Linked DNA regions of Yarrowia lipolytica. The protein of the gene in region 1 interacts with the protein of each later gene in a pairwise test. Links are inferred from orthologs where the notes say so. Each region holds a gene or a part of one and is shown on either strand. Other genes may lie near its edges.

What was found.
Region 2: the proteins of YALI1_B24252g (region 1) and YALI1_F38522g interact in a two-hybrid assay, tested with the Saccharomyces cerevisiae proteins (2 studies listed by BioGRID, with this or other methods). The link is inferred for Yarrowia lipolytica from reciprocal best matches to the Saccharomyces cerevisiae genes RUD3 and IMH1.
Region 3: the proteins of YALI1_B24252g (region 1) and YALI1_C10860g interact in a two-hybrid assay, tested with the Saccharomyces cerevisiae proteins (2 studies listed by BioGRID). The link is inferred for Yarrowia lipolytica from reciprocal best matches to the Saccharomyces cerevisiae genes RUD3 and RVS161.

The regions. Positions count from the first base shown.
Region 1 is NC_090771.1:2,422,691-2,427,649, reverse strand, and holds YALI1_B24252g (uncharacterized protein), read left to right. Parts: upstream 1-2,409; coding exon 2,410-4,143; downstream 4,144-4,959. Other genes in the region: YALI1_B24280g (uncharacterized protein), read left to right, coding at 1-307; YALI1_B24264g (uncharacterized protein), read right to left, coding at 727-1,218; YALI1_B24218g (uncharacterized protein), read right to left, coding at 4,341-4,959. UniProt on the Saccharomyces cerevisiae protein: Involved in the structural organization of the cis-Golgi and in vesicle targeting/fusion stages of ER to Golgi transport.
Region 2 is NC_090775.1:3,847,995-3,854,666, reverse strand, and holds YALI1_F38522g (uncharacterized protein), read left to right. Parts: upstream 1-2,441; coding exon 2,442-5,978; downstream 5,979-6,672. Other genes in the region: YALI1_F38538g (uncharacterized protein), read left to right, coding at 824-1,219; YALI1_F38526g (uncharacterized protein), read right to left, coding at 1,273-1,965, 2,050-2,061; YALI1_F38476g (uncharacterized protein), read right to left, coding at 6,178-6,672. UniProt on the Saccharomyces cerevisiae protein: Involved in vesicular transport between an endosomal compartment and the Golgi apparatus.
Region 3 is NC_090772.1:1,084,326-1,088,096, reverse strand, and holds YALI1_C10860g (uncharacterized protein), read left to right. Parts: upstream 1-2,071; coding exon 2,072-2,863; downstream 2,864-3,771. UniProt on the Saccharomyces cerevisiae protein: Component of a cytoskeletal structure that is required for the formation of endocytic vesicles at the plasma membrane level.

The DNA.
Region 1 (4,959 bases):
CCTCATGCATGCCTCTGAGGAGAACAGAGTGGCACTGACGCTGTTAGGAGACCCTCTGGAGTACGCCAAGATGCTCAAGGAGCTGGTGAGCGAGTCATCGGTGGCTCCCCAACCAGCTGTAGTCACGTTACAAAAGGTTGTTCAAGCTGCTATGCGACTCAGAGGAATCAGAACAGACGAGGAGGGAAGACAGGTATACAAGCATGTGCTTGCAGCAGCAGAATTCAGTCTGAGAAGGGAACTGGGAGAAGCTGGAGTGGAAAAGATGAGAGACAGAGTGGAGAATATTCTGTCGTTGCTGTATTAACATGATGGACTAAGCGGCGGTTACGAAACTCCTACTAGCTACATACTCACTCCCTGCTCCAATACGAGAACACGAGCCCTACGATGATACTCTGTGCTCATAAACAGAATCTGCATACGCATCCAATTAATTTATTTCAATTTTTATATCTACCACTAGACTATATGTGATCTCGCTTCAGTACAAGCAAAAGTACAGTACACTCTTACTAATCAGCACTATCTCGACCAAGTAAGATACAGCACTGTATGAGGACTGTAGTATAGTATAGTGCACTGATATATAGCAACCACGATCTACACTACTGCTGTGTACGCGTAATCTATTCAGTATCATCCAATATCTTAACAAGCGCTAGATCATGGATCGTTATTCATTCTATAATACATCCAGTACAAATTGAGTGCATGCACCAACAATTAGACAGGGTTCGATGGCTGGTTGGTGTTTCTGCTTACCATCTCGTAGCCCTCTTCGAAGAAAGTCTTGCGCAGCTCTCTCCACTGACTAGTCCAAGTACCAAGGATAGTCATCAGCACCGTCGAGGTAGCCTGGATCAACCACCACAAGCCATTGGTAGGCAGGGCACGGGTGTAGATAGTGGAAACAATTATGTTAATAACATGCAGGGTGACTGTGAAGTCCAAAGCAAGCTTGGATCGTCCCACAATGACTGTCATTGCCAACACTGTAAACACGGTATCGATCAACCACAGCATACTTATCGTCCATCCGATAGTATTATCAAACCGAACAGAATGCCAATCGAAAATGAGGCCCAAATTGAATGCATCTCCAGAAACCCAACACGAAAACCCAACCAGAATGAGGATAATCGTGTAGTATATCGTCTGTAGAAGGAGAATCTGTTTGAGAAGGGAGAGAGGCGTTAGTGCTTCTGCTCGGGGCATTTTTGTGAGTGACGGTTATGAGAAAAAGGGGGTAATGCGGGTGTGGGGGGATTGGGAAGCGGGAAGAGGGTCACTTCTGGTAGTGAGGGATCAGCTATGGTGCACTTAATGTCTTGAACTGTAGCTGGTGTGATTGTGAGATTTCAAATCGATCGGAAATGCTGCAAGAGAACAGAAATCAAGACCAATTGTTCTGTGACAGTATATCTGAGAAACCGATGCTGTTGTGGAGGTCTCAATAGGAGCTTTCTGTGTCGAAAAAGTCACTAAAGTGTTGGAATAACGGCCAGAGAGTCCAGTCACGTGAGTGAGAGACTCTGTGGTTATGTCACGTGATGATAATGCAGCTCACTTGATTGCAAGGGCTCCGGTGGCGTCGTAACCGATGCTCTACCAATGGTGTTCAATAAGGTGGGTGTGTATCTTGCTGACTTCGTGGAGAAGAGGTGAGTCACGTGAGGCTATAAATTGGTGAGTAAGCCCGTTGGTATTTTAGAAGAGTGGTGTGAAAGACGTTGTGGTGTAAGACAACGAAATATTGGTGATTAGTATCGTGTTCTCCTGATCAGGTTGACAGGTGCATGCTCCACGTTCACTAACGATGAACTCAGTTTAGGCTGGAGATTAGGGGGAGGATATAACACGTGACCGAAGGAGGTTAGAGAGTGAAGGAGCAGAGATTGAAAAAGAACGTTGACAAAACATCTTCTCTTAGCCATTCAAATTTGTGATAGGATGATGGGGTGATGATATAACTGTGTGATTTGATACTGAGGAAATGATAAGTAAACATTAAATATTTTCAACTGTTTTATTAAGTCTAATAAGTAACAGAAAAAAAGCTTCTGTATGTTGGTTCAGTCTCCACCTTCCTCCCTCTGCAACCTAATTTTCGGACCACGGTAGACATTTTCGACTGACGATATTTTCAGACTAACATAAGTTTTGATTTGGAAGAGTCGTAGCATCAATATAATTGGTTATATTACCAAGTATCACGTGACTAACACTCCTCAGCACACTCCAGCCCTCTCTCATCCTCTGATTAGTCAGCTACTAGTTCCAATCTTAACACGTATTTTTAAATTTCGAGGTACAGCGTGCATCAATCAAATAACATCAAACCAGGACAACATATCACAGTTTGATACTCGACACTAGAAGCAGCCAGGGCAAGACACGGCTACAGTCATGGGCAAGAAGAACAAGAACAAGAAGGCCGCGTCAGCGGCTCCTGATAACGCAGCTGCTGAGGACGTTGTTGTTGAGGATACCAACGTTCCGGAGACCCCTGTTACCCCGGAAACCGAGTCCAAGAAGGAGACTGTTGAGACCAACGGATCTTCTCTGGAGGAGCAAGTTGCGGCTCTGAAAGAGCAGCTTTCGACAACCACAAAACGGCTGGAGGTGGAGCGAGATGTGGCCGTGAAGCGCAAGGAGGCTGAAATTGATCAGTTGAAGAAAGAGATGGAAAGCGGAGATAGGGACGACAAGGTCAATGAGGAGCAGGTGGCTCAGTTGAAGCAGCAGATTGAGGAGTATAAAAAGTCCAGTTCCCAATCTGAGGGGGAGGTGAAGAAGCTGCAAGGACAATTGGAAGAGGCTAAGAAGGGAGGAGATAAGGAAGTGTCTGGGCTAAAAAAGGACCTAGCGGAGGCTAAAAAAGAGGTCGAAGAGGCTCATAAGAAGACAGAGTCGTTGAAATCACTTGAGAAGGAAGTATCTGAGCTTAAACAGAAGTTGCAAGAGGCCGAGTTGGCGAATTCTTCCTCTGACGAAGTCGAAAAGCTTCAGAAGAAGGTCTCTGAGCTTGAGCTGGCGAACTCTGACACCAGTACTACCAATTCTACAGAAATTACCTCCCTGAAGGAACAACTGGAGGCGAAAACGGAACAGTATGATAGCTTGCTGGACCGAATCACACAAATCAAATCCACCCTGGGCGAACGACTCAAGTCGGATGCCGCTGAGTTGGCAGACACACGTGAAAAGCTTGAAAAGGAGTCCGAGAAGGTTGCTCTTCTCAAGGACGAGCTCGTTGAGCAGTCTCAGGAGAGTAAGAAGCTTAACCAGGAGCTCAAACAGGCACGGGAGAAGTTCCAGAGTGAAATTGACGGACTGTCACGTGAACGAGATTTGTTGAAACGTGAGATTCTAGTCGTCCAGGAGACCGCGAACAAGTCTCAGGGTGCGTCTTCCAAGTATGAGATTGCTCTTTCTGAGCTCAAGACGGTGAACTCAGATCTGGAGACCCGAAACAGTGTTCTGCAAGACGAACTCACCGCCCTGAAGAAGTCGGTGCAAAGATATATCGCAGAAAGGAAGGACCTTGAAGACCAGGTCGAAGAACTCAAGAATGAGAAAACTTCCAGTTCGGGGGAGCTCGAGAAACAGATTCTGGAACACAAGACAGTGTCTGACAGTCTTAGGAAGGATCTGGATAGCGCCCTCAAGGAGACAGAAGAGCTCAAGAGTGAATGCAAGAAGCTGGAGGATAAGCTGGCGTCTGCTTCAGACTTTGAGAAGGAATCCAAGGACAAGTCTCTGTTGATCGGAAAGCTGAGACACGAGGCTGTGATTCTCAATGAGCATCTCACTAACGCTCTGCAGATGATCAAGAAGAGCTCAGAGGGTGATACAGTCGATAAGCAGCTGGTATCCAACCTCATTCTGTCCTTTGTCTCTTTATCGAGAGGAGATACTAAGAAGTTCGAGGTGCTGCAGTTGATCTCCAATTTCCTGGAGTGGGACGAGCAAGAAAAGGTCCAGGCTGGTCTTTCCAGATCGTCTTTCGTAACAGATGGAAAGCTAGAGAAAAGCAGTAGTTCCACTCAGTTGAGTGGACAAGGGGGGGATAGACAACCGGCAGTTGGCTTCTTTGGCAAGTTTGCTGAGTTCTTGGATCGGGAAGCAGGTAAGAAGTGACCACCGGGGACGATGTGATGATGATATCTTACAAAAGGAGGGGTCAGTGGCTATAAGTGCCCATTGGCAAGTACATAAAAATCAAATGTATGATTGTTTTTATAGGCGGTTATGTCTAGTAGACACGTTTGGGTGATGTAAGATCCATTCATATACTATTTACATTTGGAGCAGTGAATCCGCAGCTTGACTGTCTGTTACTTTCCAATACAAAACTTGCTGAAAACAGCCCCGAGAACCTCTTCAATGCCAATACCCTGGCCAGTAATCATACCGATTCCTTCTGCTGCCATTCTCAGCTCTTCTGTGGCAAAGACAACGGCTTCTAGATCATACTCCATGAATGTCTCCAACGCGGGGATTACTGTGGCGATCAGATTGTCCTTGACTCGCTGACTGGCAAGCACGGGATCCGAGCCTTCAATTGTAGTAATTTTGGAGAATTCAGAGGACAGCTTAGCGAGGAGAGTCTCGAGACCAGAGCTGGCAATACAACTGACCGGAATGATGGAATCGCGAGGCAGACCGATCTCTTCCATGAGTCTGTTTTTAAAAGCTTCAACCACATGATCCTCAACCAGGTCAGTCTTGTTGATAGCCACGACTATTTGCTTCTCTGCAGCATGCAATTGTTTGAGCTCAGCAATGATGTCGCTGCTGTGGTCACAACCATCAGCGGGGAGAACAGCCATAATCATGTGACTTTTCTGGAACCGTTCTCTTGCTCTTTTGATTCCCTCCTTTTCCACCATGCCTACTTGTTCTCCTCCTCTTAGTCCTGCAGTGTCTCCAAGAACTACCTTGTATCCAGCCACA
Region 2 (6,672 bases), on another chromosome or scaffold:
GCATACGGAAGTTATGACTAGCGGGCCAACGCAGAGTTGAGCCGGTCTCCTGTGCAGAGGTACTTACATAGTCGAATGCTAAGAGTGTTCTGTAAGCATGAGCGGAATCCCGCTCCGGAGAAAAAATTCCCACCGATGCCTTTCGACTTACAAGTAGAGAGCATTTCGACTTGGAGAGCCCCTCCCGTGGACACCATGATATATCTCAACAAGACCACTCGTCTATTTTAGCCGAGATGCACTGATGCGGTACATATTGGATATAAATACAGTAGTGCTAACTCCTTTATATATATGTGGTTTGACTCTTGTTGGACACAAATAAACACCTTGCTTGCAGCTGTTCAAGCCCGAGTTTCTCCACGCAGTTTCTATCCACAGCAGGTGATCTTCGAGACGTCATGTTGATGGGCTGTCACTGGTACAACGGTTACAGTGCTTGGCATATAATCGCGCACTAAGCTCATGAGACCCGTCCGAAACGTTTAATACGGAAACTAGGAAATTTACGTGAGGGCGACAGGTGTGTAAATTTTCTGAAGACGCCGATGCCGGACGGTTCCGTCGACCTCGTGTTATTTCAGTCTGCCGTTTTATGGCCTCTTTCTCGCGCACCCTCCCTTTGCCTTGCATTGCCTACAGTACGAAGCACAAACACCAACCCTTAACTACAAGTACATGCTTGTTTGGGCTGTCCTTATCACGCCCGCATAAGCAATTATGAGCCGCATAGCAATCGAAACACTGTGGAGGTGCGACCTCCACGCACTCAAATAACACTCAAAACTAATCACCGACTCTTGTTACAATCTTTTCTTCTAAAATGACTCACCACAAAAACAACAACAAGGACAACCACGACGACGAGCTCTACATTGAGGTCTACCAGAAGTACCTGGAGAAGGCCCAGCGCCTAATTGACGAGCACAAGGTGCTGGTAGTGGCGCTGTCTTGGTCGGATGCGTGTGAGGAAATTAAGACTTGCCTCCAGACCATCAAGGGCGAGTTGGAGCCCTTCTACCTGGAGTTGGACAAGGAGGAAGCCATGGACCGTGTGGAGCTGCAGAAGGCTTTTGTCGAGATCACCTCCAGTAACGCCATCCCATCAGTCTTCGTCAAGGGCAAGCACATTGGATCTGGAGAGGAGGTCATGGAACTTTTCCACGACAAGAAGCTCTCTGAGGTTCTGGCTAAGGCTGGCGTTGAGCTTCCCAAATAAATGAAATGAATTTGAAAATGCGATTGATCAATTATAATAATAGAAGGGGACACTTAGAGCTGGCCCTCGAGTCCCTTACTCTGGACGTCCTTTCGCTCCTCCCAAACTGTCTTTCCGCTGCAGGAACACACAGTCTTATCATTCTCCCACACGCCAGCGCTTCGTGCAATCACACCCACCAGAGCGTGAGGCTTGACAACGTCTGGGCTTGTAGAAACAGCCATGCCCCGGCCAATAAGACTGGAGATCTGGGTCTCGGACTTGACAAATGCTTGGCCGGAAAAGAGTCCAGATGCACTGTCAGACTCGTTCACCTCCACGCTGCCCAGCGCCTGGTATACGCCTCCTAGACTCTGAGGCGCATCAGAGATGTCTCCACTGGTACGGATGCTGGGGTAGTATGTGCCCTTGGGAAGACCGTTGAGGGTGATATCGATGAGCGCAAGGGTCTTGGAGACACTGACGATTCGGGCAAGGCCCTTTATAGGTTGGGCCTGGTCTTCGGGGGCGTGGCTTTCGAGAATGCAGACGGCTGCCGAGTTGGGCTGTCCAGTGCCTCGAACAATGGCGTCCTTGCCGATGTTTTGGACGGCCTTTACAATCTGGGACGGAGCAGAAGTTCCAGTGACACTGATAAGCTGATCCACGAGCTTGCAGTCAACGGACTCGATGCCCTGGACGTTTGCAAGTGCCTGCTTGACGGAATCACAGCAGGACTCACATTCCAAAGGGACAGCAAATGTAGTCTGGCGTTAGTAGTGAAATTTATAGCACTGGAAAAAGAGTCGGATGAGGTTCCCAGTTCCGGTTTCTGTTCGCTTTTTACTCACAGTAAATGACATCAGGGCGGTATGAAAAGTGGCGAGAATGTCATACAAACGCGGAGTTGATCTATATGAACAAACCTAATTTCACGCATCGTTTGTCAGCACATTGTGCCACTCATAATCTAAAAAGCTGATTAATTTACAGGGGGGGACGGAAGGTGGTGAGACATGTCATAACTAGGAGTGAAAAGGTAAGGAAAAATCAAACAGATATTCAATTGAGACTGACAAAAAATACAATGCAAACGGACCATATTTTCGTCATTTCCGCTCTGCTTTTGAGATGCTCTCATGGCTCGGCTCGCCTTCATCTCCCAAGCACTCTCTGTAGCTTGTGCATCGACTTTTATGCACTCGTTACATCTTCGACTCGTAGAACCTAATACCTCCACGTCATGTTCTCGAGAATCCAGCAGAGCGTTAAACAGTTCACGGATGAACTAGATGGCGCCGTGAAAAACGCCCAGAACCAACAGGTGGCGGCGCAGCAACACGAGGCAGAAGAGCGCAAGAAAAAGCTCATGAGCTACAAGACTCCAGACGTGGAACGCATGGAGCTAGATGACAATGGGTCGTCAGCTCCCTCCACCGAAGGTGGAGCTACCGAGGCCGAGCCAGTATCGCAAACGGAGCCAGAAGAGTACATCATTGACACTCTTCCGGTGCCTGACAAGGTCAAATCTCACCTGCGAAAGTTCCAGCGGTATGAGGCCAAGTACCCCGATCTTCTCAAAGCCTACAGAGTGGAGAAGAAGAAGTCCGAACTGGTAAAGAGCATGGTGGAGGATTTCGAGCGTGTTCTCCAGGAGCGAACTCCATGCTCCGGTCTCAATGAACCTCAGGCTCTCGTTGAGTATCTTGAGAACCTCAATCTTAAGAGCGAAATGCAGAGTAACGAGCTTCGTTCATTGTCTACGAAGGTCGACACACTCAAGAAGGAGGTCGACGGCACCAAGAGAAAGGATCAGGACACCATTGAGAAGCTCGAAAGCGACGTGGCTCGACTCACATCTGATCTGAAGGATCTGGAAGCTGAGAACACCAAGCTAAAGGAGGCTGAGCCGGCAGAATCAAAGGCCACCGACACAACCAGCGAAACCCGTGCTGAGCTGGAGCTTAAGGATGCAAAATTGGCCGAACTGCAGACCAAGTTAGATGGCCTCAAGACCAGGGTGGGTGAGCTGGACAATGTCAAGGCTCAGGAGGAGAAGGTAAAGGAGCTTGAAAAGCAGCTGGACGAGGCTAAGGGTGAGGCCAAGAAGGCCGAAGATAAGATCAAATCCGCCGAGGAGATGGTCAAAGCGGCTGAGGACAAGGCTAAGGAGGCATCAGACAAAGCTGACCGCTCTACAGCCAGCAAGGACTCCGAACTTGAGAGTCTCACAAAAACATTGAACAAGATCAAGGACGAAAGCAAGGCTGCATCGGAAAAGCATCTTGGCGAAATCAATAACTTGAAGGAACAGCTGGAGAAGTCCAAGACTGTGTCAGAGGAGCTAGAGACTGCACGAAAGGAGCTTGCTGACGCCAAGTCTGCCGCCTCTAAGGCTGATGCTGAGCTCCAGGAGAAGCTGGCTGAGATTGAGAAGACTCCTGACAACTCTGCTGAGCTGGAAAAGCTTAAGACCGAACTTGCCGAGGCCAAATCCAATGCTGATAAGACTTCCAATGATCTGGCAGGCAAATCGAAGCTGCTGGAGGGTTTCCAGAAGAAGCTTGGTGAAGCTAACAAGGCCAAGGAGGATCTGGAGAGCGAGCTTGCGACGGTCAAGGCCGCAGCTGCGTCTGCTGTTGCTGCTGCCAATACCTCTCCCGGTGCCACTGGTGGTAAGGGAAAGAAGGGCAAGAAGGGAGGATCCCCTGCACCCGATAACAATGCTCAGATCAAGGTGCTGGAGGATGCCAAGCAAAAGCTTGAGAAGGACCTTGCTAATGAAAAGTCCGAGGTGGAGAGTCTACGGGACCAGCTCAAGGAGATTGGAAACGATCTTGTCGAGGCTCAGAAGTCTAATAAAAACAGCGAAGTCAAGGATGAACTCGAGAAGGTGCAGAAGAAGCTCACCGAGAAGGAGGAAGAGATTGAGGAGCGTCAGAAGGATGTAGCTGAGCTCAAGAAGGAGATCGAGGATCGAAACAAAACCCATTCTAAGCTTCAAAAGGAGGTTGATGAGCTCAAGACCCAGTCTTCAAAGTCTTCTGAGGATGCAAAGTCTTTGGAATCAGCCAAGGCTGATCTTGACAAGACAAACAAAGAGCTGACTGCTGCACTGACGAAGGGCAAGACCTTTGAGGATGAGGTTGCCACTCTCAAGAAGGAGATTGAGTCTCTCAAGAAGGATCTCGCTAGTGCCAAGGAGTCCCAGGATTCGTCCCAAGCTATGACCGAGGAACTTGAATCTTTGAAGAAAGAGCTGAAAACTACGAAGAGCAGACTTGCTGAGGCTGAGAAGACCACTGAGGAGCTCAAGACTGTCAAGGAGGAGGTTGAGGAGCTGAAGAAGAAGCTCGAGACCACTGAGCAGCATCTTTCTGCCGCCGAGGACTCTCACGCCCACTCTGCCAAGCTCAGTCAGGACCGATTCAAGGAGCTCGGCACCACCAAGGAGCAGCTTTCAAAGCTGGAGGAGCAGCTAGGATCTGTCAAGGCAGAGCTGAAGATTGCCAAGGACGCCGAGACCACTTTGGCTAAGCAGACTGCTGAGCTTGAGAAGTTGGTTGCTGCCGAAACCAAGCTCAAGAAAGATCTTGCTGCTGTTACTGCATCTTCATCCGACTGGGAGGCGAAGTACAAGGAGGCAGATCTGCGGTGCAACAAGATCGAGAGCCGCATTACTACTCTCAAGACCACCCAGGCTCGACTGGAGAAGGAGAAGAAGGATGCTGTCGCCGAGAAGGATGCTCTTGCTACACGTGTCGAGCAACTCGAGAAGGAGCATTCTGCATCTTCCGAGTCCATTTCCAAGTGGACCCGAGAAAAGGCTGCTCTTGAGAAGGAGCTGACTGAGGCCAACAACGAGGCCAAGATTAAGGAGGCTCAGAAGGACCATGCCCTTGGTGAGGTCACCGAGCTCAAGAGCCAGTTGGAGGAAGTTGCTATGCGAATGAGAGAGGTAACTTCTCGTTGCGAGTCTCTGGAGGATGAAGTCTCCGATGCACACAAGCTGCTGCAGGAGCGAACTCGAGAGACCACAACCATGCGACGTCTTCTCAACGAGACCGAGGACGGTAGTGAGACCAAGATTCGAGATCTCCAGGAGCAGATTCGAGCTCTCACTGACGAGAAGGATCAACTGGAAGCCAGTGCTGCTCAATCGTCTAGACGTCGACAGCGTGAGCTTGAGGAGGCCCGAACGAAGACTCGAGAGCTTCAACATGACGCCGAGGAGCTGCGAGCTGACAAAGAGCGAGCTCTCAGAGACCTCCAGGCACTCAAGTCGTCTCGAGAGTATGCTGATAAGGAGTCCAAGAGTGCCCAGGAGGATATGGAAGAAGCCAATGGGGTCATCCAGAAGCTTCAGACCGAGCGTAAGGTCATGGATGGACGTCTCAGCGAATCCGAGGCCACAGTGCTGCGTCTGAAGCAGGCCGTCGACGATGCTCAACAGCGAAACGACAAGCTGCAGAAGCAGCAGAAAATTCTCAACGAGGACATCATCGCTCTTCAGACAGAGAAGCACAGACTGGAGGGCAACCAGATCAGTAGCTCCCAGCGTCATGTGACGTCACCTGCCCAGTCACGACGATCTTCTGTGGCATCTAACACTTCACAACCTCCCGCTCCTGCTACTGCTACTAACACTGCGTACATCAAGAACGTGCTGCTCGGATTTCTGGAGCACAAGGAGCAGAGACAGAACTTACTGCCAGTAATGTCTACTTTGCTGGAGTTCAAGGATGGAGAGGAAGAAAGATTCTGGGCTGCGATTGGTTAGATGGGGACAATGCAATATATTACCGCAACTATAGAAATTAATAGACAACGTGTCTTAATTATCCTGTGATAGCGACATCCGCCAACATCTACCGGTATATCTTCACTACAAGAACTTGTAGTCTCTGTAATTGTAATGATTGCTATATTCGCTTTACATACTTACGCACTATTTTTATACAGCAATGGGGTCAACAATGTCAACTCCTTTGGTACGAAGCTGCTCGGTGGCCACGGCGGGGCTCGTTACCCAACCGTGCTGGATCCTGGTACCATTGTGTCTGACCCACGCACTCGGCAACGGTAAGCTGGTTCGGCCCAAGAGCTTTGGCAACATCAAGTCCAACGTTGACAGTCTTGATGGTAGTATCGTGCTCGAGGATCAAACCCCAGCCTCCACCCTGCAGTTTCCAGTCTTGGACCTCTTCCACGACCTCAGGGGAGGTCTTAATACCGGCGTTAACCTTCCAATCAAATGTGTCTCGGTCCCACAACACAGACTGCATGCCCAGCATCCGTACAATAGCACGTACACGGTTGTCGATAGCGCCATAGGGGGGACGGAAGTAGCGTGGGATGATACCGGCAGTGGCGTTCATAGCCCAGTTAGTCCATTGTAGTTGTGCGACTATCTCTTCATTGCTAAGCGAGGCGAGGTTTGGGTGAGACCAGGTGTGACTGGCCAACAGATGGCC
Region 3 (3,771 bases), on another chromosome or scaffold:
GACTAATTCAATCTCCGAACTCGGATTTAGGATAGCTCTTCTGAATCCAAAGTTAGACCCATTCTCGCAAGTCTGTCTCCGAACAATCTGTCCCTTACCGCTAGTTTCAAACTAGTGAGAAATAGTGGGAATCTTAGCGGGAGCAAAACGCACTTATTTAGAGTGCTCCACTTAGTGGGTCTAGGCAGTCTAGAGTTAGCTGCCTTGGTTGTTACAACTCAGCTCCACATACACATATTGCAGGGTTGTAGCATGATATGGAGACGACTTGGACCCAGGGACGCAATGATATATCACGCGATGCATATAAAAGGAAGCTAGTGGGATGTGACAGATCACCTGATCTGACGTTTTCTTGTGACTCCCTGTCCTCCAATGCACATGAGAGCTCCAGGTGCTAAAAATCGTTCCTAGTCTAGTTAGCCGCCGTATGTCTACTCACAGCAGACTAAGTAAGCTACATCGTTGTAGTTACTTTGTATATGCAGAAAAAAATAGGCCGAACTGAGTTGACCAACTAAAGTAGCGTGGAGTTTACCAATTGTGGGGATAAAGAGAAACAGACAACGGGAGCCGCTAGAGCCCTTTTGTGACGATGAAGAGCCCAAAGGAGAATCAGGGTCGCTTGTTATTGACTCACGTGATGCTCTTCTGAAACCGGAACTCTCAAAAAGAATGAGCAGAACAGGGGGCAGGTGCAAGACAGACAAACCGGCATGAGTTTCCAAGATACGACCTCAGGGGTCAACAAGGCTGTGCCCTGTGGGTCCAATTTCCTACGGCCTGAAATAGTGACTCCATTGTGTTAGTGTCATAAGACAATCAGTCTACCCGGCAGCACAGTTATGTACAATATAAGGGTCTGGAGAGCCACATGGGGAAGCACTAGGCTTGAGTAGCTGAGCTAACCATCTGGGGTTGCGAGACTAAGTAAATGAACGTCCAATGATCCGATAATGCAGGCTTGTACTGGAGATGTGGGTGTTTTTACCGAGCTGGGTCGTAGTGGTTGAATATGAGCCGAGGTGTTTCAAGCAAGGCCAAGGGTACAAGCGGGTCATATTGGTCAGGGACGGAGAAAGTCGACCTAGAATCTGTCTAGAACTTGTTAGTACAGTACCTCTATACTTCTTTTCATCTTCTCCACTTTTGACAGCATGTATATGTTTTTGAGGGCTCCTTTGAAGGGCTCCACCATCCCTGGCGTCGTGTACAAGTAAAAGTACAAGTATCTAATCTAAAGGAGAACCTTTTAAGACCATTTTGGTTTCCCTCATCTCATTTATGTCGAAATGGATCACTTTTCAACTCTCTCACAAATTATCTCGAAATCAGTCTATACACAGTCCATTGAGCGCTCATACTTGTACTTGTAACAGGACTGTCTGGAGACACGAAACCACCGAAACCACAAAAGTCGCCAGGAATGGGTTCCAATATTGATTACTAAGCCAACATATCGTCCTCCGAAACCCCACTTGCTTCTTGGCGACTCTTAGATCAGTATTGCTCAGCCCTTAGTTTCATCCTCCTGACTGTAGAAGATAGCACTCCCAAAACGCCTCCCAAAAATACTTCTGCAAACTCTAAAAGTCAGCTGGTGGGTAGTTATCTCGAGCTGCAGACATGCCCCAAGGAAGCAGAGACCACCAGACGATTCAGAAAATGCACTATATTTTAATGGTACACTAACTATTATACTCTCTCACCCAAAAACAAGTCGAAATCTCCACCTCCTCCTCCTGTCACTCATTTCAAATTGCCACCAATTTAGATTCCCCTAACCCTACGAACATAAGCCAGATGGACTCCTTGGCTTGTTGATCCCCAGTCATAATCTGTGATTGGAGAAAGATTTTGCTTAGGTAACTGCGTCATGTGATTAATCACGTGATTTAGAGTCGTTAGTGGGAAAAATCGACGTCTCAAGCTCCATTTTCGCATCTGAAAAGTGCACGTCCAGTGCGCTCATATGCTGCGCTACCCCTACCCTAATTAACTCAGTCCCACCTTATCTCCAAACCACTCACCACTACACTCGGCATACACGACACTAACAACCAACACTACCATGAGCTGGAATGGATTCAAAAAGGCGATGAACCGGGCGGGCACGTCGGTGATGATGAAGACGGGCCACGTGGAGAAGACGGTGGACCGGGAGTTCGAGACCGAGGAGCGTCGATATCGAACCATGGAGACGGCGTCCACCAAGCTGAACAAGGAGGCCAAGGGCTTTCTGGACTCGCTGCGAGCCATGACGTCGTCGCAGACGCGAATCGCAGAGACCATTGATGCGTTTTACGGCGACGCTGGCACCCGGGACGGCATTTCCAAGTACTACTTGCAGGCTGTCCAGGAACTGGATGCCGAGACCGTCAAGGCTCTGGATGGCCCCTACCGAGAGACGGTGCTGGATCCCATCACGCGATTTTGTGCTTACTTCACTGACATTAACGAGGCCATCAAAAAGCGAAACCACAAGCTGATGGACTACGATGCTCTGAGACACAAGACCAAGAAGTTGATTGAAAAGCCCAGCAACGATGCCGCGCGTCTTCCTCAGGCAGAGAAGGAAGAGCAGATGGCCAAGGAAATGTACTCTCAGATCAACAACCAGCTGATTGAGGAGCTGCCCCAGCTGATCGACCTGCGGGTTCCTTACCTGGATCCCTCGTTCGAGGCTCTCGTCAAGATCCAGCTGCGATTCTGTACAGAGTCGTATACCCGTCTGGCGCAGGTGCAGCAGTATCTGGACGCCAGCAGTCGAGAGGAATACGCTAACGGCCAGTTGGACGCCAAGGTGGAGGATCTACTGCAGAACATGAGAGAGTTGAGCATTACTAGTTTGGGAACTAAATAGGCTCATCGAATTCATACAATGAATGAGCGGGCCTATTGAGCAAACTCATCTGCTTGTAGTGAGTGTGCCATGGTCTGGTAGGCTGTTGGCCGGCAAGACGGTTTTCGCTAACCCATGCGTTTGGAAGCGCAGAGTGGACGAGTATGTATAATGAATATATGATAAGCATGAAGTCGAAGGGATAGCGTGTTTGACCGAGAGAGTGGTATAGACGAGGACTACTGGTTGTTCCTTTGCTCGTCTTGCTGTGGTTGTTATTAGCAGTGTTGAAAGGTTGATCAGCTGCTACTAACAAGCCATTTGCAACTTTCATGTTGTTCACAAGGAGACCAAGAAAGACTCACAGTCGAACGTTGGTGTTGTTCGAATCGATGTCTCTCTTTGTTGTGCTTTTAACAGTCTTTGGACAATGTTTAGCGTATCTATCTTTGGAGCCAGGATTGAAGATAAGAGCGGCACACAATAGAACTAACTAGAAGACTATAACCAGAAGATACGGTCCACGAGTGGTCTCTTGGTCATTCAAGTCTTGTAAAAATTCCTCATTCGAACTTTTAGCTGTAATCTAAGCTCTTTCTGGCCCCACTTACCACTATCAAGCCCATGATAAGCTAGAGAATTTACTACAAGTACAGAACTGGTACAGCGTAATGTAGTAAACTGTTAATCTAGTAAATCTTCGGTTAACCAAATATCGAGGACAATATTAGCCCAGAGTGTGTGAAACAGCTAGCCTGGTTCTTGTATAGGAACGAATAACTAGGCCAAGGACGTATAGCAATTTTAGCGTGGACCAAATTACCACATGGTGCGGTTCTGAGACTGCAGTATGTCACAAAGACTTGTCAATTGAAGAACTGGACTCTTCTTTAGTTTCTAGCTACCTTCTAGAAGTATAGATTGTTCCA